3 linked regions of the Lepisosteus oculatus genome follow. The protein of the gene in region 3 interacts with the protein of the main gene of each other region in a pairwise test. Links are inferred from orthologs where the notes say so. Each region holds a gene or a part of one and is shown on either strand. Other genes may lie near its edges. The genes, in order: trim32, rnf144b and ubiquitin-conjugating enzyme E2 U.

Region 1 (7,347 bases), on a different chromosome or scaffold from region 3:
ACAGGTGGGATCCAGCAGCCGCCGCTTCCACTGGCTTGGGTTTGATGCTAGGCGACGCACAGGCAGCCTCCTCCGTCGCCATGTCGACGTCACGGTACACATCCAGCGACAGCGCAGCTATGTCATGGGAGCCTTCGTCTGTGTCGACGGTACACTGCTTGCTCACCACCTGCCCCACGTCCAGAGGCTCCGAACGTTCGACCTTCGCCAGCTCCGGATCCTGCAGCTTCAAAAGCGCGGGCAGGTTGCTTTTCAAGTCCAGCTCCTCGTCGTCGCCGGCCTCCTCCAGCAGAGCGATGTCAGCCTGCTTGATCTTCATCGTGAGATAGTCGCAGCGGGACACCACCTGGACCTCGGCGATGTTCAGCAGGTAGGTGTGCTCCTCCAGGATCTGGGTGTTGAGCTTTTCGATTTCGCTCAGCGAGGAGGCGAAGGCCTTACGGGACTTCGTCAGCTCCTCCTGGAGCCTGAGCTCCGCTTTGGCGTACTCCTGCTGCACGGCCTTGTATTTCAGCCGCAGGGACTTCGAGATGCCGTCGATCATGGCCTTTTTCTTCTGGATATTCCCCATCGTCTCCCGCAAGATGGCGAGCTTGGCGCCCACCTCTTTCCTCCGCTGCTCTGCAGCTGAGCGGACAGTCAGGACTATGTGCCCTTGGTGCTGGTGCCCTTCTGCTTTACAGGCATCGCAGAGCACCAGGCCGCAGTCCTTGCAGTACTGCCTGGGCAGCCGGTTCTTGCAGCCTTTGCACATCAGGCTGGTCGCCGAGCCGGAGCTGGCGCAGTCGATGATTTTCAGCACGGTCAAGTTGTCCGCCAGCTGGGAGATGCTGCTCATGCGGGAGACTTTGCTGCAGAAGGGGCAGCGCACCCCGTTGATGGTGCTCGCCAGCAGCTTCTCCAGGCAGAGCCTGCAAACCGTGTGGCCGCACTGCAGGAGTTTGGGGCGCAGCTGCTCCCGGTTGAAGGTCTCCAGGCAGATGGGGCACTCCAAGACCTCTCTCACCACGTCTGGGTCCAAAGTGGCAGCCGAGGCCATGATCCTGTAGCCAATTCCACCTGGCGAGGAGAGGAGCAAATGAGATAAAGCATAATTTCCCCGTCTGTGATCTGATGGAACTCAATAATAAATGCACTGCACTGTGGAATAAATCGTCCTGTTTTGGTAATGCATTTGTATCTTTTAAACTTGGAAGGAGACTACGATGCACTTCTGTATAATGAACTGATGCGTTTTGTAATGTTCCTAAGAGTAGCATTAAGCATGGTTTACACAAGAGGAGGCCCATTTTGCTTGTTTCGTTTTTCTGTAGCTAAATTATCCAAAGATTTCCTACAGCCTTTTCTTGCAAAAGAAAAAACCAGATTGTTTGCTTGAGCAGCTTGTTCCACATTCCCACATCCCTTTGTAAAAAGAATGATTCCCCATTCTGTCTTAAACGCACCTGCACATACAATAGCTCCCCGCTCATAGCCTCTGTAGATTCTGAAGAAACCTGCAAGGTTGATTCTGCTCTGCCTTCGCAGATTTTAAATACTTAAATCAACCACTATTCAAAATGAGATGGGTAAATTCAGGCTCAAAGAACTGACTTACATTGTAAAAATCGCTCTCAAGCCCCATACTTTCTCAGCTTTTTTAAAATTCCAAAGTACCTAGTGCTCATGCAAAGTGGAGACTGCAGGAATGATAGCAACTACCAACAACTAAACGGGCTACATGTACCGAATTGCCTCCTCCTTCATATCCTTTCTTATGTTTCGTACCTTGGTCCAGACCAGTCTGTATTTGCGCGGTGCGACTACTGCAGTGGACAGCACTTTAATCAAAAGGCCGTAAACCTGAATACTTCAGACTCTTCTAGGCTGGACTGCAGCTATATTAGCAAGAGGGTAGGGGCTTAGTCTAGTGACTGTCTGCACCACCCTGACTGCCTGCAGTGCCCCTTTAAATTACGCTGCTGAAAAATGCCAACCAGAATGATTTTGTGATAATGAGGGTACAGCGACTGCACCAACGAAAAAGCATATCAATGGCTATATCAGTTAAATGTCTTTAAAGAAAGACGCAATAGGCGGGATGAATCGCTCAAAAGCTGCGGATATTTTAAGCAATTCTGGAGCATTCCGTTTTAAAGTATATTAACGTCTAATATTGTCATTTAAGAAGAGGATTTAGGGATAGTGCACGGATTTGTAGAAAGGGGTAGTCGCAAGCAAAAAAAAAACCAAAACAAAGTAAGATAAATACGAAACCAAAGGTGTTGATGGTGCAAATAAAACCATGACGTCCACTAGCGACAAAACAGCAATTCTAGTGCAAACAGCGGCGAATCCACGCCGGTGTTAATTTACCGATAAACTAGCGAGGTATTTGCATGAAACGATGTTTCGACTTAATCGTACAGTAACTGGGATCGTGTGCCTTCTGTGCCAAGAAGCAGTAAGCGACACCTTGCTTAGGAGGCCTCTGACGGCAGTATCATCTTTACAGCACAGAAAGCACACATACCCCGGCTGCTTCCGCAAAGCGGGTTGCATTAACGAAATGGAGATGCTACACAGCTGGGGAGCTGGTTGTGCTCTTACCTGCACTTTCCGTGCCAATGTCAGATCCCCAGGCCGAAAACCCCGCTCCCGGTTGTGCCAGGCAAGACTGCGGCTCGGGCTGTGACGTCTCCTGAAACTTTATTCCCTCCTTCAGAGGTATTTCATTGGCCTCTCCGTACGCAGTGCGACCCGTTTCTCAAGACGATTGGCGGCGTCAAGCATCAATGAAGCAGGAGAGAGCAATTGTCAACAGCAGTCACAGTGCGACTTCCTGGGATTTGAAGTTCCTTGTGAGGAATTCCTCGGGTCCCAGACTTTCTGTTTTTCCCCCACACCGAGAATTTACTTGACACTGCTTTTAGATGTTTCATATATAAATATGTCCAGAGCACATCCTTCGGTTGTCTGTTTTTTTTTTGTTCTAGCTGAGTTCTCGATTACTTACCTTAAATTCACAAGGGACATTTTCCAGTGTCAGACCGTTCTCGACCTCTTCCAGCTCGTAAACAGGTGCAGCTGGTTCAGGTTGGTGTTTAAGTAACTTGTAGCTCAGCTGGAAAAGGAAAACAAAAGAGAGAGTTTCAGAGTTTTGCAAGTCTTTTTTTCTTGATGAGGTGACGACTTAACGTATTCATTGTATTTGCATTAGTACAGAATAACGCTTTTCATCCCAAAGAATCCTGAAATACTTCATAGGTAGGATGAGACCGATTTTATTCACCACTGAAGTGCAGCAACCACCTGGCTCATTTGTGCTACATTCTGCAGTCCCACAAAAAAAAAAAAATACAAATGGATCTTATAGGTGTTCAAAATCCCCAAAGGCGTTAACAAACTCAACCCGGTGGACTTTTCAGAACGAACGGTGAAAAACCGAGAAGTAAAATACGTACTGTAGCATGTAAGTGTATTTCCGAGGATAGGAAGCACTTTCTTACCCAACGGGTTGAACTGTAGGAACACAGAATGGCCTCCCCCCAGCTGTAATTAATTAAATTAAGGAAAACCTCAGACAGAAGGTCCAGAGTGGAATTTAGCCATGACACCTGTTTTGTTTGTGGGAAGAGTTTGAGGACAGACTCGACGCAACGAATGACAGGACACACACGTACAGGTATTCTGAAGGTAAATGCATGGGTTTAAGAGAAAAGTAATTCGTCCGTTGAAGGAAATTAAGCAATGGTGGGAAGCCAATGATATGCAGTGAGCCTTTTACATAATGCTGTAACACATCAGATTCCCTTTGGAATAAAAAAAAAATGGACGAAATATTGCCCTTCGCGATTTGTCTTTAATCTGTATCATTGACATTTTGAGGTTGCCCCGTGTATTTTGAATTCAAAGTACAGTACGTTTTTAGGTATTTTAAAGCCAATATAACGTGTTGTCACTAGATGGCGGTAGGAGCACATATTTTGGTAGCATACAGTCTTGCAGCCGTAATAAGAGATTGAGATATTAGCGTCTGTTGGAACGAATTGATAGGAGTACTTAACATAGCAAATCGCGGATTTGTAGCTTTTTAGACATAACGGCAAGCTGTACAATTGTAATGTGGGACCTATTGGTAGTATACACATTTTTGCATTGATTTGTATGCGTGTTAAAAGGAATTATTTAGTGTATTTGCCTTGTTTTTGTGGAACTGGTGCGTTTTGAGCACGTGATTGTATTGTATTCAGTCATCAAACTGATCATTCCCATGTAGCAGTGTGTACTTTCAGGTTATAATACAAGATTTATGTCTAATGAAGTTGAAAAAATGCTTTGGGTTAGGTGACAAAGGCTGTGTATGGGATTTGTTGTCCATTGGTGTAGATCCTGCTCATGAATTCCTCATGAGAATTACTGAATACCATATCATCCAGATGAGTTCATCTGAGCGAAAACAGTGTATTTAAAATGACAGCATGTGTAGCTTCTGAGTAACGCAGCCAGTAAAATGTACTAAAAAAAGTACCATATCAAATTAAATGTATTATTAATCTTTATTATAAAAATGACTGCTTAGATTGCATCCTGAGACCTACAGTCCAGACATCTTTAGTTCTAGTCCAGTATACTCGATTAGCTGACTGTAACAGCTCTGTTAACTTGACACCACCGCAAACAGCACAAATAATGATGGTTTGCTGGTCAGTGCCATTGAAAGTAGCAGCATTTGTGCTGCTTTTCCCCCCGAGATATAGTGCCTTATTTCTTCGGGGTTGTGACACTTGCACAATCTGTGACCTGTAGGGGGCCCGGGAGATTGCAGAGGAGTCTGTGAGAGCTGCGTCTCTCCTTCAGTCTTGCCAGATGCCCTTTAGAAGAAGCATGGGCTCCTGAGCATGAATAAGCCAGGATAGCTGTGGAAAGGGCATTTATCAGTCATAAGCAGATGGTGCCCAATTCAATGCTGGCACAAGCTTTATTGGGGAGAAACAGGGCTTGGTTTAATTGGAGGTTTATGTAAAAACAAAAACATGCTCAATATTTATTGAAATTATTGAAAATAATAAAATCCCATTCCCTTTTAACTTGACCTTACCAAATATCTCGCTTATCAGTTTACTCATTTTCCTTGTAGGGTATCTGGCTTGTGTTTACCCCAGCCAGTGCTAGGCTACACTTACCATACACGTCGGGATTATAGCTAACTGATTACAATCTGTGTTCTGCGTTTTTTACTTTGCTTTTTCTCTCTTTCACAGAAAGTTGTGCTGGTCAGCATGTGTGAGTAGCCTATAGAGTAGAGTAGTGAATCCCTGCTTCTCGATTGGTGGAGAGGATTCAAAAACATCCTGAAGTTTATGCTCCAGCTGAAATGTTTTAATGTTTCAGACAAATTAAGTTATGAAATTAGACAGACTTTCTGAAATTGACCTACTTGGCTTTGTTGGATTTGCTGGGCTGTAACCCAGACAAATATCCTACTCCTTGGTCATTATCTTTTTTTTCAATAATCTGTTTGCCCTGGAGTTAATGGATCATTGCATACAGTCCTACTGTTTTGGTAAAATTCAGCTGGACTGTGCCCTCAGAGGTCAACAGCTGTGAAAATAGGAAAAATTTTTTTTCATACCAAGAGTTACTATTAGGAAATAAAGCTGTTTCAGTTGAATTATGAATATTACTGTACCTCATTCTGTTTGATTCACATTAAATGCCACTTTTTAAAATGGAAAATGAAAGAGTATTCTCAAAGAAAAGTACAAACTGTATGCTAAATGAAATGTAATCCCATTTATAAGGTACTCAAAACTCTTTCAGGGCTAACAGAAACTTTGGAGGTGGGCGAGCAGTATTTCTATATGCGTCATTTGAAAGTGAAAGCAGAAATGTAGAGGGCATCGTCAAGGGCAAAACACAATTTTGGCGACCACTGATTCCGAGCACATTCCAGAGTTGCAAAATGAGGTTTACTACAGACTGTAGACGTCAAGAGTCATTTATAAAGACCTAATGGGATTTCCTACTTGGATTTACATTTCAGATATTAACAGAAAAAAAAATCTTTCTGGTAAAAATTATACAAAATTATGAATCTCCAAAATGTATAGATACACCAAGAATAACATATAGTATATAAAGGAAGAGAGATATTATAAAGGTCTTTCTATCTGTATGCTTTTCAAGATGGGTTTACAGCTAGACCTTGCTAGAAAGATACAATATGCATAGTTTGGTCAATATTAGCTAAGTAATCCAAAGATCTCATCCAGCCTCTTCTTTAAAGAAGCCAAGGTATTAGATTTGACAGAATTACTGGGTAGTTTATTCTGTACTACTACAACAATGTTTGTGCAAAAGTACATCCCCATAGTTTCTAATGTTTTCCCTTTGGTTCATATTTTTACTGTTGAAGAAGCCCAAAGTGTTGACTTTGTCAGTGTTTTTGAGGATTTTGAAGCGTTCAGATGAATCCACTTGTGTCCTTTGTCCATCCGAAACTGAAAAAAAAAAGTTTTTAGCATATCAGAAGAGGGCATTCCTTATTGCTCTCTTCGAGCCTGAGAATGTAACCGGTCTCTCTTCTATACTGTATACTTATTCCAGAGCAGCAAGATTATTTTGGTAACATAGTGATCAATATTGTGCAATTTTTAACATAATTGAACTTTAAATTCTACACTTTCTATATATAATTATATTATATATCCTAACATTATGTTTCCCATTTGTATTGCCCACATTATCTAAAAAATGAAACTGAAGTGTCAACATACAGTAGATACATTAGTCTTTTTCTCAAGCAGAAGAGCTAGTTCTACCCCAGGTACATTTTTTTAAATTATTTTAGACAAAAGTGAAGGTTTTAAAAAATCCCTTAAAAGCACCTGCCCCTACACCTCTCTACCCCTCCCAAAACAGTGCCTACTGCAGAAGAAACATTGAAACGATGTTTAGTACTAAATATCTCGTGTCATTCTTGGTCAAACATTACATTTTGGATTTATTTCAGCTATGTGGGAGCCTCATTCCCAAGCAAATGGATATTGGATTTAATTTTTGTTACAAGCAGGAATAATGAAGAAAACTTATGAAATATGAGGGTTTTCTGGATGAAGCCATTTATTTTTATTGCTTCCATATTTAGAACAGAACATCGTGTTTTTCCGTCAGGCTCAGGCTAGCACTATGTAAGAACCTCCGATGCAAGTTTCATTTCAGATGCCTTTTAATATGCTCCATTTCAAAAAGATCAGAGTTTCCCTTTTAGTCCTGATAAGCCTTGACTCAACACTGAAGCATTCCCACACAACTTAACCTGAGCTTTTCTGAGCTATTTTGCAAAATGTGGTTTCTGCCAAATGT
Region 2 (7,466 bases), on a different chromosome or scaffold from region 3:
ACGCAGACGATCACACCAGGGACACCAGTTTTCCCAGAAGCCAAATGACCTAGCAGCATGTGTCTGGACTGTGAGGAGCTGGAGGAAACCCACTCTTGAGCTAACTGAAAGGTGAATGGGCCATTGCCTGGACATTTCACAGTGCTGCACATTTACAACACCCCCTTCACACAATAACAAATGCAGAAGTAATGTAATTACTTGATTACATAGAAGTATGACCCACACTTTCTAAAACTAATATTTAAAGCAGAAAGTCAGTAAACAGTTTTCCCCACAGCTCAGGAAAAAAGAGGTTGCTCAATTGCTTGGGCAAAAGCAAAGCAACAGAGTCCAGCTATTTTCCCCACAATTTATAAAATGCATCATGTAAAAGTGAATGAATAAAAATTAATTAATGCTTTTCCCAGTATCCTGATGAAATCGGCAATGCTGAAGCAAAGTACACATTTCACACAGAGCAGCAGTTCTCTTCTTCCGCAGTCTGTTGCCCTTATCCGAGAGAGAACTGAGAATGCATTTTGAAAATAAAAGGCAAGGCGCCTACTGTACGTGCAAATCATTTCAGCAGCTTTTGAGCCACTGTTATGACTGCTGCTTTAGGAGGAATCAAAAACACTCAATACAGCTGTACCTCAGAGCTACAGTGGTGCCATGACCAAATCAAGTACTGTCAGACAAATCATTAGCAAGGGAAATGTAGATTATGCAACCACCAGAGCTGTCTAACAGAACATCGAGACATCAGATGCCACAGTAGGGTTTCAAATGACTAGAGGCCATATTTCCCATCTTGCAGTTTGGTGCAAATCTGAAGCCTTCTGCTGTATATATTCTGCTGGATGTTACAGTAACTGCCAGGAATAAAAGGTTCAACTGAAATTAGTGTAGAGATTTTAGTCAGGGATGTACAATGAAAAATGTGCAAACTGCTCAGATTTGCTTGTGAATAACAAGGTGCTAGCAATCAGCTATCTGAGAGTGCGCTGGGATTGTCCTCAGTTCAAAGAGCAGAGGAGCTGGTATAAAGCCCTGCAATGAGCCTACTTTGCTCTGCCTCAAGCTGTCAACTGGTGTTTTGAAGAAATCAGATGCCTGTTTCTTAGGGATTCATCTGAAGTCCAGTTAGATGATGCTTGCTCACTTCATTGTCACCTGTCAAGCTTAGGAGGTCCCACAAGGCTCAAGCCTGGGCCATGCTCATCTTTTCCCCAGTGCATCTTCTGGGACACAAGACTTCTATTTCTGGTGTTAATTACAAGCGCTCTGTGGGGTGTGCTGAGGGGAATGGAGACACAGAGTCTGGGTATGTTTTCCTGGATGTGTACAAAGTGTTTCTGTTTCAGAGCCCCACAGCTCTGAGCCAGCCTAAAGGAAGACAGCCTATGTGTTGACTTGCAGTGATTTTGTTTGGTTTCGATTTTATTTTAAAAAGTGTTTCGGGTGTTTTCATAAGCATTAGTATTACTAGAAAATAATAAGATCTAGCAAAATGTTATTATTGCATCTCCATAAAATAGTTATGTACATCTGATTACAGTATTTACTGTATTTCAAATAGGGTGTTCAGCTCCCAGATTCTATTCTTGTAAGTATTCTTGTGTAATTAACTTTTGTATTTTCTTAAATCACTTATTTTCATTTTGCTTTTCCAAAGTAAGAGAATGAGCTTTTTTCCTAGGAAAACATAGAATAGGAAATAACTGTCTTCAGGGAACCAACAGAAAATGAATGGGATCAGAAAACACAAGAAGTAAAAGAAATATAGTCACTAATATATATCTGCTTGTATGAAGAGTTACTCGCATCTACGGAAGAAAAAGTTTGAAACCTCTGACATGGTTATTAGCACTATTACTTTCTTGCTTTGTGAAAACAGCCTTGATTATGTGTCCCGCTTATTAAACATGCACCACTTTTGAAGGACTTTTATAAGTTACTGAAATCATTAGGACGGGCTGTTCTTGTTGGACACCATTCAGAGTGGATTCACTGCCAAAGCTTGGCTTACTCATGTTCTGCTTCACTGCTGCAAAATGTAATGAAACCATATCCAGGGCAGGAGACAGCTTACCCATTCTCCGCGGGGAGTACTGATGTGTTTGCACGGAAAAGTGAATATGGCAAAATGCCTGAAGCATTAGATTGCATTTGTCAAGCAGTGGCACAGGTGGCACAGTGACAGGGTATATATCAAAAGTCTTAAATTCAAATTAATACAGTGACTAGATTATCAGTCTGCTATGGACCCATACACTGCAACCAAGCTGAATTTACAGCTGGCTGGTTGAGATTGATAAACTTGCCAAACTGCAGCCTATTCTTGGCAGACCAAAGCTAAAAGGTGGTGTCACAGACCATGGACCACATCAATTTCAGCTCTGTGCTTGGCTCTAGAAAGTATAGCCACTCATTCAAAACACCCAGACCTATTTACTTGCAACTGATCTCTGTAATCCTTTTGTACTAACACACTTCTGCTTTAAAAGGTAAAGCCCATACCTGGGCCTACAGGCGTAGATTATTCCAGTTTTTGTAGCATTAAGCAGGCAGTATTCAATTCACGCCTTCATGGTCCGTGACGGAGTTACCCCGTGCAATACTGTTTAACCAAATACACAGCGGGATGGACTGATTAACTGGGGGTAAATCACTGGAATCAGTGTCTATGTGGGAACCCAACACTTCTATTTAAGAATCCAGAGACCTAACACAGCCCTTCACAACCCGGTCACCACAGTATAACTGGTTTTGTAAACAGGTCACTGCATACAGTAAGTAAAAGGGCACAGATAGGATTCTAAGATTCCTTTGACAGGCTCTAGGTGAGAAAAGTCTGTTACCGTAAAACTAAAAGGAACACTCCTTTCTTTTAAAACTGGTTCATAACATTCTTTTCAACAAGAAAAATGTCCTTTCTTACTTCAGGAATGAAGATTGGCTTTCAGTCTGATGAACAGTCCCCCAGAATGGCCGTCGCTGTGTGTAACATATCTTCCACATCACATTATTCACTGGTCAGGAAAAAAGAGGTTGTTAAAAGCTTCAGCAATTGACAGGGTGTCCATTTCAGAAGCTCTGTTGATTTGGCCTTGACTGTCTGTAATATGACACCCAAGTGTGTTGAATGATGCAAAAGAATTTCCTGGCCTGACATTGCATTCTTTGGCCTTAAAGAGATACATTTGTAATCTCTCTTTACTACTCAATCAAGCTCTTCCTTTGTGTGTACTGTAGTCTGTTACACATGATTCCCCCCCACCCCAAACACCTAATGTTGCATCTTAATTTTTAAATTTCATACTAAGAAAGCAAAACATATGCAAGGCCTTCTTAAAGCTGACTTTAACAAAAAAAAACATGGTGGTGAGTATTTTAAGTGTTGCTCAGATGCCCGTTCTTGAAGTAATGCAGTTAAATGTATTTTTAAAAAGTCTTTAATTGTTTGAAATTGGACTGACAAAGGATTTGCTTTTGCATTTTTTCAGGAGCACCTTAGGAAATAAAGCTTAAAAGTATTAATATTGTAATATTTTGAATATTTAGAGAGTCTCCTGTTCGGAATGATTTGTTAAATTTATTTAGCATACAGTGGGAGAATTATAGAAATCTCTTGACCGCAATTAGACTTATCCTGGCAATATAGCACATATTGTGTTTCTTTTTTGTCTTTTTTAGATACTGTAGACCACTTCTTAGAAGATTTTCATGTTAGTTTTTCACACGTGAAAATAGAGTAGCTGACAAAACCAATAGACACTTCTCTTCAAATTCTTCATCTGCTTAACCCTCATTCTGGCTCCAGCCTTTCTGTCTATTAAAGGTCTTAAAGGAGCATATGTATACAAAAATGAATAAGGAAACCATAATTGTAATTGTACAGTTGTAACCTTTTTGTCCTGGAATAGCCAGCCCAGTCAAAGGCATTATCAGCTTTGAATAACAGGAACAGAAAAAATGCAGAGTACAAAACCATAGACAAGGGTATTTTGATCATCAGGTTAAAATGAAATAAGATCATTCAGTGGGAAAATGCTGCCCAACTCCCACTCGTATTCAAACCCCTTAATTGGTTTATCTCGTGCTTATCTGGTTACGGATTTTTCACTTACCACAAAAACTTGGCCAATTAATTCTGGTGTGCTATCCATTCCTCACTCAAAACTTTGAGAACATCCATTCGTTCTCTTGCTGTTCTCAAATATTGTAATGTTCTCTCATCGTGGACAAAGGTCTATTTTTATACACCAGCTTTTCCTTCTGTTTGATCTGAATAGTGTGGCTGCATTTAGTAAACTTGGTTTATGTTTTCTTTTCATCTGTACACCTTGTAACATACATCATCTTACACCAAAGATTGTGGGTGTCTGAAACAAGTAACAGCCATACTGTTGAAGCCAGTACCCTTGCATATTTCAGGATATGCCAGGATGAGATCCACAAATCAATTAGCTACCAGCAACCAAATGAGCTAAATGGGCTCGATGATCTTTCTTCCAGTCCTACAAAAGGATTATGTTTGTTACACCTTCATGACCAATGTTGTAGTAGATACAAGCACAGAAAATATGCCTACACTTTTCCTTCATTGTTTACCATTAACATTTCTGAAATATTTAAAGCTGTGTTCAGTGGCAGTAAATAAAAAGGCATCATGTGTCAGTCAGTGGCACACGTGACCTCTGGCCTCTTCTGTGTAATGAATATCATTACATGGATGTGGGATTAGTCAGTCTCTTTTCCCACTGGTCACACAAGATATTTTGGCACCTGACATGATGAACACATTTGCAGTGATGCACTGCAACTAAAATAGAGACCAAACATTATTTAAGAGGCCCGTGACCGTGCCGAGAAAACTGTCATTTAACAGAAGCAAACACGCAGCCTGCATAAAACAGTTATCCATAACATCTGAGAAGCCTGCTTTCCCAACATGCCTTCCCATGCTGCAAAGGATATCCCTTATCTCTTCAACGCCTATTGTGATGTGAAGGAAGACAATGTCAGGAAGAAGGAATTTTATCAATCAACATGGCTGGACCTGGATATGGAAACAAGACCTCAGGAAAAGTATGTACCAGACCTAACCCTAGCCAAAAAGGTTTAATATGTAATGAGTAGAAAATATGTGTATCAGGGTACCTGGGGAGCTCTTTTGTGTTTGCATATTATCGTGACCTTAAAGTTTGTATTTTGTTACAAAAGAAGCTTTTTTAAAACCTGATTAAGAACTGTTAGGAACTGTGAGTGAAATAAAGAACAGAGAGATGGGTGATAATGATGATGGTGACACAGACAAAAAAAACAATGAATCCCAACTTGTTTGTAAGACAGTTCTAAGTTAAAATAAGAAAAGAAAATTGGAGTTATGTATCAGATCGCTAACATCAAAGCTGAAATGATCTGCAGTTGAAAAATGCTGTTTCCTTTGGATAGTTGTTTTTTTTACATAGCTCATATAGTTGTTCAGAGCCTTGTACAGTAACAGTGCTACACACTCACACTCCAGCTCGTACTGTAAGCTTACATATATCCTGCTAACTTAACAACCTTAGACCACCACAGGAATCGCAATCAGTATGTCATTGGGCGGAGCAGTGGCTCTGTGGCTAAGGATCTGTGCCTGTGGCTGGAAGGTTGCCGGTTCAAATCCCACAGCCGGCAGAGGAATCCTACTCCGTTGGGCCCCTGAGCTAGGCCCTTAACCCTAACTGCTCCAGGGGCGCCGTACAATGGCTGACCCTGCGCTCTGACTTCAAGCTTCTCTCCCGGTCTGTGTCTCATGGAGAACAAGCTGGGGTATGTGAAAAGATTAATTCCTAAAGCAAGAAATTGTATAGGGCTAATAAAGAAACATTATCATTATTATTATCATTTTCAGGACTTCAATGTAACATTTGTATTTCACCCATAACCCCTAAATTCAATACATTTTGCCCATAACAGGCTCAAACAAGGACTGCATGATGGCGCAGTGGTTAACAATGTTGCCTTGCAGTGCTGGGGCCCTGGGTTCGATTCTGGACCTGGGGTGCTATCTGCATGGAGTTTGTATGTTCTCCCCATTTGCAGCGGTTTTTGCTGGGTGCTCTAGTTTCCTCCCGCAGTCCAAACACATACTGGTAGGTTGATTGGTTTCTGGGGAAAACGAAATTCCTGGTGTCAGTGTGTGTGCAGCCTGTGATGGACTGGAATCCTGTCCAGGGTGTATCCTGCCTTACTCCCGTTGCTTGCTGGGATAGGCTCCAGCTCCTCAGTGACCCTATAGTGGATGGAGCGGTTTCGAAAATGGATGGATGAGCTCAAATAAAACAAGCTAATTTTTTTTTTTTACGTGCTTCTAACAAACTGTTGTAACCCACTCTCAGGACAACGCTGTTCGAGCAAAACACTTCGCGAAAGGAGAGCTATGAGAAGAAGCAAGTGGCTCATTTTCTGGTGCAGAGATCCCCCAACCAGAAGATAAAGTTGGGCATACTGGGGGAGAAAATGAAGGAATACCAGCTTCCCTACAAGAACGTCCTCCCTGTTCCCATGTTTGTGCCCAGCAAGGCTAAGAAAGAGCACCACCGCACTCCAACCCCAGAAGAACTCAAAGCCATCATGGAGTTCGAGAAGGCGTTGTCGAGCGGCCTCAGTACCAAACGAAGAGAGATTTCTGAGATTAAGAAAGACATGCCCAAAATGATCCAGCCTACGCAGTTAGACTTTAGAGCCTCAAATCTAATTTCTCCTCAAAATGTGCAGGCTGTGCAGAGAAGCTAAGGGTTTAACTGTAAAAATAAAACACTAAAATAAACTTTCACCCTGGAGTCATGGAGGTAAAGGATAAAAGGGTTAAAAAGCACGTGCTAGTGAGATGTATTGATTCTGTAGATCTTAGCGAACATGTTTACAAGAGTAGTTCAAGTAGGGAGCTGCGTCAGCATGCGTAGGCTGCAAAGGAACAAGTAAAGGTTTATTTCATGCTGAAAAGAGAAGAAAGGAATCACTCTTTGGGTGTGAGCCGAAGTGCTCACACCCGAAACGTTGTTTCCTTTCTTTTCTTTTCAGCATGGAATAAAAGTTTACAAGAGTGCATTTACATGACAAACATATTCTCTAACTTAACTCAGTTGTATAATGTTTCTGCTTACATAACTGTCGCAGTATAAATAGATTCGGAAAATATTTCTCAAAGCTCCTTGCAGTGCTGCGACACTCACTTGTAACATTAACTTGTACATTTCCACCACAATTCACATTTTTGCATCGGGAAATGTGTTTAAAAGCTTTTACTTCTGGGTGAACTAAAGAGCAAAATAACAACATAAAGTAGATAAAAACACAAACTCACACGATAAGAACACGGACACAACAGAGAACAGAACTCATTCTAATAATATCTAGTGTATAATGTCTTAACATGTCTTAATGTCTTAACATGGGACAAAAAATGTGATCATGTTTTTGTATATTTGTCC
Region 3 (7,246 bases):
CATGATATAAATAAATATCTAACTTTTAAGTGGCTGAATAACTGGAAAGGGTTACAATTATGGTTTAATTAAGTAATGTGAGAAGATTTAGGGGTGATTGTGGGTCCCCTTTCTTTGCCACTCAATTCCTTTTTTTTTATATGGGCGGTGCAGTGGCCCTGTGGCTGGAAGGTTGCTGGTTCGTAGCCCACGGCCGGCAGAGGAATCCTACTCCGTTGTGCCCCTGCGCAAGGCCCTTAACCCCAACTGCTCCAGGGGCACCGTATAAATGGCTGACCCTGCGCTCTGACCCCAAGCTTCTCTCCCTGTCCGTGTGTTTCATGGAGAGCAAGTTGGGGTATGTGAAAAGTCAAATTCCTAATACAAGAAATTGAATATGGCCAATAAAGTGATCTTATCTTAAGTAAGTGGAAGTCTTAAGGGAAGTAATTGGGAGGCACTGCTTAAGCCTCTCCAAGGGAATCATGAGGACATGAAGATCTTCAAACAGATGAGGATTTCTGAAACATGGAGCAACAGGTCAAACAGCATAAATGGCCCAACATTTAAAATCAGCTCTCTTTCTTTCTGGTTTTACTAGTGATGCGTAACAGGGTTAAATGACAGTTACACAAGTCTGTAGGTTTTCATTCCAGGTGAATTATTTATTGGCTAAACTACAACAGGTTGACAGCTTTTCATCGCCTTTGATTTCAGAGTAGCCTCCACACTACAGGACTTGAGTTGAGCACCTCTTGATTAAATGGTTCAAGGTATTATGCAAATGCAAGTTAGAAAAATGCTCTCTTTGTGGCTTTGTTGCAACTGTTAATATATTACATACCTGAACTGCAAGCAAAATGCTGGTGAGTGAAAATCTTGAGTCCCACTCGTCTTTATTATCCAGGAAGCTAATGCATGGCCGGCCAGTGTCCTTGTTCACTTTTCATGAGAAAGTAACAGGCATTTTTATATAGGTAAAAAAACACCTCTCCTGGCCCCAAAAGAAAAAAAGCACAGCAGTAAAATAGGTTTGTTGCATACCGTTGGGATGGAATGGGATAGTGCTGAATCTCACCACAGGTGGGACAGTGTTGTAGTCTTCGCTGTACTGTATGGACAGCTGGATTGTGCCACCTTGTGTTGCAAAAATGTTTTCCATTAATAAATGTTTTCAACAATATTAAAGTACGATAGTCACATTGAAGTATGTTTTTTTTTTTCTTTCATAGCTTGATTTTTCATCACACTTGCCACACTTAATTTTAATCTATGCCAGGGCATTTTTATGCATTAGTATTTTAATGTTTGTAGACAAAGTATTAATATCACACTATAACTAAACATCTCCTGCATTCTCAAGGCTTGCTGTTTTAATGATATCCTGAATTTTGCTCAAAGTAAAAACTACAGATTCTGCCATATAATACAAAAGTGAAGTTGCACTGTACCTCACCTTCCCATAGAGAATCCTTGAGCCCCCTTACTTTAGCTACCCATTCAAGCAAGTTGTCATTGACTGGTTCTGCTACTATGCCCTGCATTAAACACACATAATGCACATCCTTTAATGAAATGGCTAACTTGACCCAAAACAGACCAGAACAGAATATTTTTTTTTCCATTTGTCAAGTGGTCTACAGAACATTTTTATTCATAAACCTATAAACGAACAGAAAAGGGATAGGTAAAAATCAGTTTGAGATAAATTAGGGCAATATCAAACCACTTTATTAACCTAACCATGGGCAACCTAATGGCACACAGACGATATCATAAAATTCACATCAGGTATCACTGAATATTCTTAATTCACAAACATCAGCTCATGAACAATGAACAATGGAGTTTAGAACGCTGATTCACACCTAATGACTCAATAATCTGGTTATCCTTCAATTAGCAATTCAATTTCCCTGTCCTGCATTTTGCCGAAAGAGAGATTAAATACAGTAGCTCAAATCAGTTTCTTTTTACAATATCAATCGTAGTGGTGTGTCGACATTGTCCCTCTGTGTGTGTGTGTGCGCTCAAGGTTTGGAGGAGTTACCTTAACCCTTATTTAGGAATATGCGGCTATGTGGCAACTTCATGGAACTTTAATTTATGCAAACGCTCCAGACACAGGTAATGTAGGAGGGGGGTTTCCCATTCATTAGTTCTCCTTAATGCTTTACATTGCATTTACATTACTGTTGAGACTGAGACGACCAGCATGGAAGCTTCTTTTTAGTTCAGTGGCCGTGAATTAATTTTGTACGGGAGTAAATCTGGAGCCACATCTAATTTAGAAAGAACATAGCACAATGGGTGGAAACAAGACGACATCTGATTTCCAGGCAAATCTCCGAAACCTTAAGGTTTGAGGTGAACTAACAGAAATCCAACCCGACCTCAAAAGGAAATAGATCTAAGGAACTATTAAGTGATCTGCACTTTCCCTTCCCTTTTTAAAACTGTAATATAAAAACTACATTCACACGTATATTTTAACCTTCGTTGAATAAACAATGCAAGTCAGGACAAGTAAGAGAAATACTACTTACAAAAAGATTGGCTTTCTGCTGCTCAAGATATTCTCTCTCCAACAGTAAATAAGATCTGGAGTGCATGTCACCCTGAGTTCATAAAGGTATATATTAAATTAGGTATAATATAGATTAAAAAAGCGAAGTTACAAAGCTACAAAAAACCAAAGCCATATCGCAGTTTTATCTCTGTATATACTGTATATGCACATATAAATATATTGTACAAGACAATTAAAAAGGATTTAAAATAAAATAAAAACGTTTTTCCACTTAATATCGTAATTTCACGATATATATCTCTGTATATAATATGATATAATAGGCACAACAACGTATTGTAACTGTATTTAGGTTGATACCACATGGTGTTTGTAAAATCATATTTTTCCAAATTCGATTTATGCCAAGACATCACAAAGACCATGCCAAGAAAAAACAACCGCTGAAAAAAAATGACTGAGTTGGGAATGTCTTTTACAGCTTTCGTTAAAACTACTTACCTTTTCTGTTCCTGATAAAGGAATGACGTCGTGTTTGCGACGACCTGTTGTCAAGCAACAAGCAGCCACTAAAGGAGTTATTTGCTACCATCTAGTGGACAGAAGATGAAAAATAAAAAAATCCTCCCCCTTATTGTTATCATGTATTGCAATTTAACATACCTTATTAAAAAACAAATAAACTAAATATTACAGATTAAAATATTGTGGTTAAAATGTAGTATGTGATCTAAGTAAAAATAGAAATTATGGGTGGAACTGTGGCACGATGGTTAGCCCTGGTGTTTTCTGGTTCTCTTTCACAGTCCAAAGACATCCTGGTAAGATAACTGACCTCTGGGGAAAATTGTCCCTGGTGTGAGTGTGTGTATGTTTGTGTCTGTTTGTCTGCCCTGCACCCGTTGCTTGCCGTGACCCTGAATGGGATAAAGCCATTAGAAAATGGATGGATGTCTGTATGCATCACATAGTAACCCAGTGCACCTCACATGTATGAATGGACCCACTTCCTCCACTGGAGTACAGCACCCAGTTCATGAATGGTAACCATTATGACACCATGTGGAGAAATGAGAAATTATAGAATTAACTGTGACTCACACCTAAAGAAGGCTCAACAGCAGAAAAAAAATATTAAAATATATGAAGTTTTTCTTCTGTCAGCTTTTCAGCACGAAATGAAACTTTATTTTTTCCTTCACAGCCAATGCATGCTGACACAGCTGCATTCAAACCTCTACAGATATTTTCATGCTCGTGTGTTTTGGGGTGGCAAAATATCTGTATGGCACCTTCTTCAATCCTGTAATATTTCTATGTGCATAAACATGACCCCTCTATATGCACTACAATCAACTTCTCACCTGAAGTGTGTACTGCAATAAATTTCTCACCTGAGAAATGACAATGATCGATATGATCTGGAAGCCTGCAAACAGTATTAATGGCCAAAAATAACAGGAAAAACACAACAGCGATGTTATTTATTTATTTTTTTGCCGTACAAAAAAAATTGTGCAAAGATCTCACAAATACAAAAAAGGCCTCTTGTTCAATACAATCTGGATGTTGTAAACCTTTTTGTAAGTATCAGCAAACTGAATTCTATAAGATACTACAAAAGACTGTTTCTAAAAATACAGTATAATTAAAACATTTTGCAAAGGCACAAAACATCTGGCACTAGATTCACAGTCTTCTGTTAAAAGTGGTTTTAACTGGAGTACATTTCTATTAAAAAGCAGAGGATACCTGTATAAAACTGCAGATACCTAGGTAGGTAAAAACTGTTTTCAAAAACTTCAAAGAGAAGAATTTCTAACAAACTGGATCGACTGCCCTGGACTTTTTAAACATGTTTTATCCCATTGAAGTAACTTGTAATCACTGTAAAAAAACAAATCCCAGAGACAGCTTGTTGACCACAGCAGGTTTTTAATGTTCTTTTCTTCAGTTTAATATTGTACCCTGATGAACTGCACTGTACAAGTGATTGTCTTCTATACAAATGGATTTTGGGTGTTTTTTGTGTTAAATAGTTGCATAGCAACAAATATATTCAAAGAATGAAATACAGCTGCTTATGTAAATCCTTTGAAAATAAACGTATAAAGGATTTAACCTAAATATAGTTCAATACTTCAGCAATCTCCCTGTATTCTGCTTAAGGCAATACAGCTATTGACAAAGAACATTCATTATATTATAGACTATGAAATTCTAATGAATCACACTTTTTATACAGAACTGTTAGACCCACTTTTCTTCATTAACAGTAATCATTAAGCACCAATTGAAAGACAAGACTGCCAGTATTATGCCTATATGTTGCATAGCTGAGAAAAAGAGGCTGGTAGTGAAAGAAAGAGAGGAATAGCTTATTGACATAACAGTTATGAGGACTTTACCTCATTAAGGTAAAGGTAAAGATTTAAAACAAAATCATTACGTTGGTGTGTTTCCCGCAACACAACAATATGTGTTCCAGAATTTGCGTAGATTTTGTTAAATATGTGAACCGCCACTTCCAGTAAAATGGTCTGTGAGCTGACTATTCAAATCTCAAGATTAGAAAAGGCACTGGAATCTCTATTGGATCAATATTAGTGATCAAAATTGTTTTCTCTTGTATGCTTTTTGGCAACAACCTTGCAGTTGTCTTTTAAGAATTCCTGCAACAGTTGCAACAGTGAAAATGTGTGAAATATACAAATTGATGCAGAAAGAATAACAGGAATTTGATCAGGTGACACAAAAAGACCTAACAGTAAGACCAGTGGTACTGGGGAAATACCACTATGATTTTCTAGTTAGTTTTTCACAACGAAATCGCTTTTAAAGATGTGAAACTGTGAAACGTTTAGGCTGTAACAGCTGATAGTCTTGTTCAGGAGACAGTTTCAAGCAAAAAGCTAGCACCTGGTGTTGTTTATTCACAGCGAAACTGTGAAGGGCGCTGGTGATGTCTGCGAGGACACTATTAGACAGGCTTTATGAAAAAAAAAAGTCTTTCATTATAAAACATTTCTGAATATAAATCTTTACATGTCATTCAGGTTTATATATTTACACATGAAAGTTAAAATAATAATACGAATTAAAAAAATAAAGAGACTGTTTACAGATCTGCAGTAATTACAGATTCGCTGTACATGTGTCTATTTGAGTCCGATAACAAAGTAGCCTGCGTAGGGTCTATTGGCATAGGCTTTTGATTCATGTGTCCAAATACAGGCACAGCAGCCCCACTAGGGAGATTGGAAAGGGTCATACAGTGGGCCAGCAAGGGCGTGTTTGCGTCATGATTGGACCCTGTGGAGGGCACGCTTGTCACATGACCCGTGCTGGTGGAGCCACTGGCGCTGCTGGGGGAACGGCTCTTGGGGGGTGGACAATGCTGGATAACCCGCGGTGGGCCCTGGGGCTGGAAATGGGCAGCGGGAAAGGCGGCATAGCCAGTTGGAATGGGGTACCCGTTTACCGGGATGAATCTCTGATTCTGAGGCATCTGGGCCGTCATGAATCCTGCAATCTGACCCTGTGGTATCCCCTGCGGAATGTGAATGTAGTTGGCGTAGCGGGGATTGCTGAGGTTGCTCACTGGGCTGGCGCTCAGGGAGGTGGTCTGCGTTGTGGCGTTTCCACCGGAGGGCGTGGTGGAGCTGGCGTGGCTGGAGATGCCCTCCCAGGTTCTCATCCGGGTGTGGATGTCCTTGAACCGTGGCCTCCTTGAGGGGTTCTCCTGCCAGCATTCTGTCATCAGGCCATACATCCTGGGGGGGCAGTCCTCTGGGCAGGGTAGCAGCTGCCGTTTCCTCACCATCTCGATCACTTCCTGGTTGCTGAAGCCATAATAGGGCTGCAGGCCAAAGCTGAATATCTCCCACAGAACGACACCGAAGGACCAAATGTCCGAGTCCGTGGAAAACTTCCCATACACAATGGCCTCCGGTGGCATCCACCGGATGGGCAAGAGAGACTTGGGCTGGACTCTGTAATAATCCGAGGCATAGATTTCCCGTGACAGGCCAAGGTCGGAGATCTTGACTTGGAGCTGCTCCCCGACCAGGATGTTGCGAGCGGCCAGGTCTTTGTGGACAAAGAAGTGGCTGGCCAGGTACTCCATGCCTGCCGCGATCTGGATGGCCACGTGCAGGAAGTCCCCGTGGTCTAGGCTGGACCTGACAGTGCCGTCTTCGTCGCTGCTGCAGCCCACGTCCGAGTGGGGGGAACGCATGATGAGGAACTCGTGCAGGTCGCCCTGGTTCAAGAACTCAAAGAGCATGCAAATGGGCTGCTCCTGCGTCACCACACCCAGGAGGCACACCATGTTGTGGTGGTGAAGCTCTGACATGAGGGAAGCCTCCTGCTGGAACTCGCCCCACAGCTGGGGGTTGGAATAGTCCTTCAGGGTCTTAATGGCGACCAGCTGGGCGTGGTCCATACCGGGTAGGTAGAGGTGTCCCTTGTAGATCTTCCCAAAGGTACACTCGCCAAGCTCCTCCATGAAGCGTACGGCTGACAGGGGCAACTCCTTGGCTTTGCTCTAAAGGAAGAGAGAGAAGAACAGAGCGGTGTGACCAGCGAGCACAGAAACAAACACAGATACCACTTATCATAATAATACTAATAATAATAATTCTTATTATTATACAGCTATCACTGCTTCCATTTTGGAAATAAAATTTTTTTTTAGCTGCAGGATTTGTAATGAAAAGCATACGTAAAAGGAGAGAC

The links.
Region 1: the proteins of ubiquitin-conjugating enzyme E2 U (region 3) and trim32 interact in binary tests that used the Homo sapiens proteins (3 or more experiments, as listed by UniProt). The link is inferred for Lepisosteus oculatus from reciprocal best matches to the Homo sapiens genes UBE2U and TRIM32.
Region 2: the proteins of ubiquitin-conjugating enzyme E2 U (region 3) and rnf144b interact in a two-hybrid assay, tested with the Homo sapiens proteins (2 studies listed by BioGRID and IntAct). The link is inferred for Lepisosteus oculatus from reciprocal best matches to the Homo sapiens genes UBE2U and RNF144B.

The regions. Positions count from the first base shown.
Region 1 is NC_090719.1:11,226,030-11,233,376, forward strand, and holds the start of trim32 (E3 ubiquitin-protein ligase TRIM32), read right to left. Parts: upstream 3,096-7,347; 5' UTR 2,590-3,095; intron 1,060-2,589; 5' UTR 1,040-1,059; coding exon 1-1,039. UniProt on the Homo sapiens protein: E3 ubiquitin ligase that plays a role in various biological processes including neural stem cell differentiation, innate immunity, inflammatory resonse and autophagy.
Region 2 is NC_090705.1:10,624,210-10,631,675, forward strand, and holds the start of rnf144b (E3 ubiquitin-protein ligase RNF144B), read right to left. Parts: upstream 3,093-7,466; 5' UTR 2,924-3,092; intron 1-2,923. Other genes in the region: telethonin, read left to right, coding at 4,937-5,073, 6,372-6,768.
Region 3 is NC_090704.1:14,113,256-14,120,501, forward strand, and holds the start of ubiquitin-conjugating enzyme E2 U, read right to left. Parts: upstream 3,064-7,246; 5' UTR 3,011-3,063; intron 2,598-3,010; 5' UTR 2,592-2,597; coding exon 2,526-2,591; intron 1,518-2,525; coding exon 1,436-1,517; intron 1,117-1,435; coding exon 1,024-1,116; intron 922-1,023; coding exon 824-921; intron 1-823. Other genes in the region: inactive tyrosine-protein kinase transmembrane receptor ROR1, read right to left, coding at 5,628-7,055. UniProt on the Homo sapiens protein: Catalyzes the covalent attachment of ubiquitin to other proteins.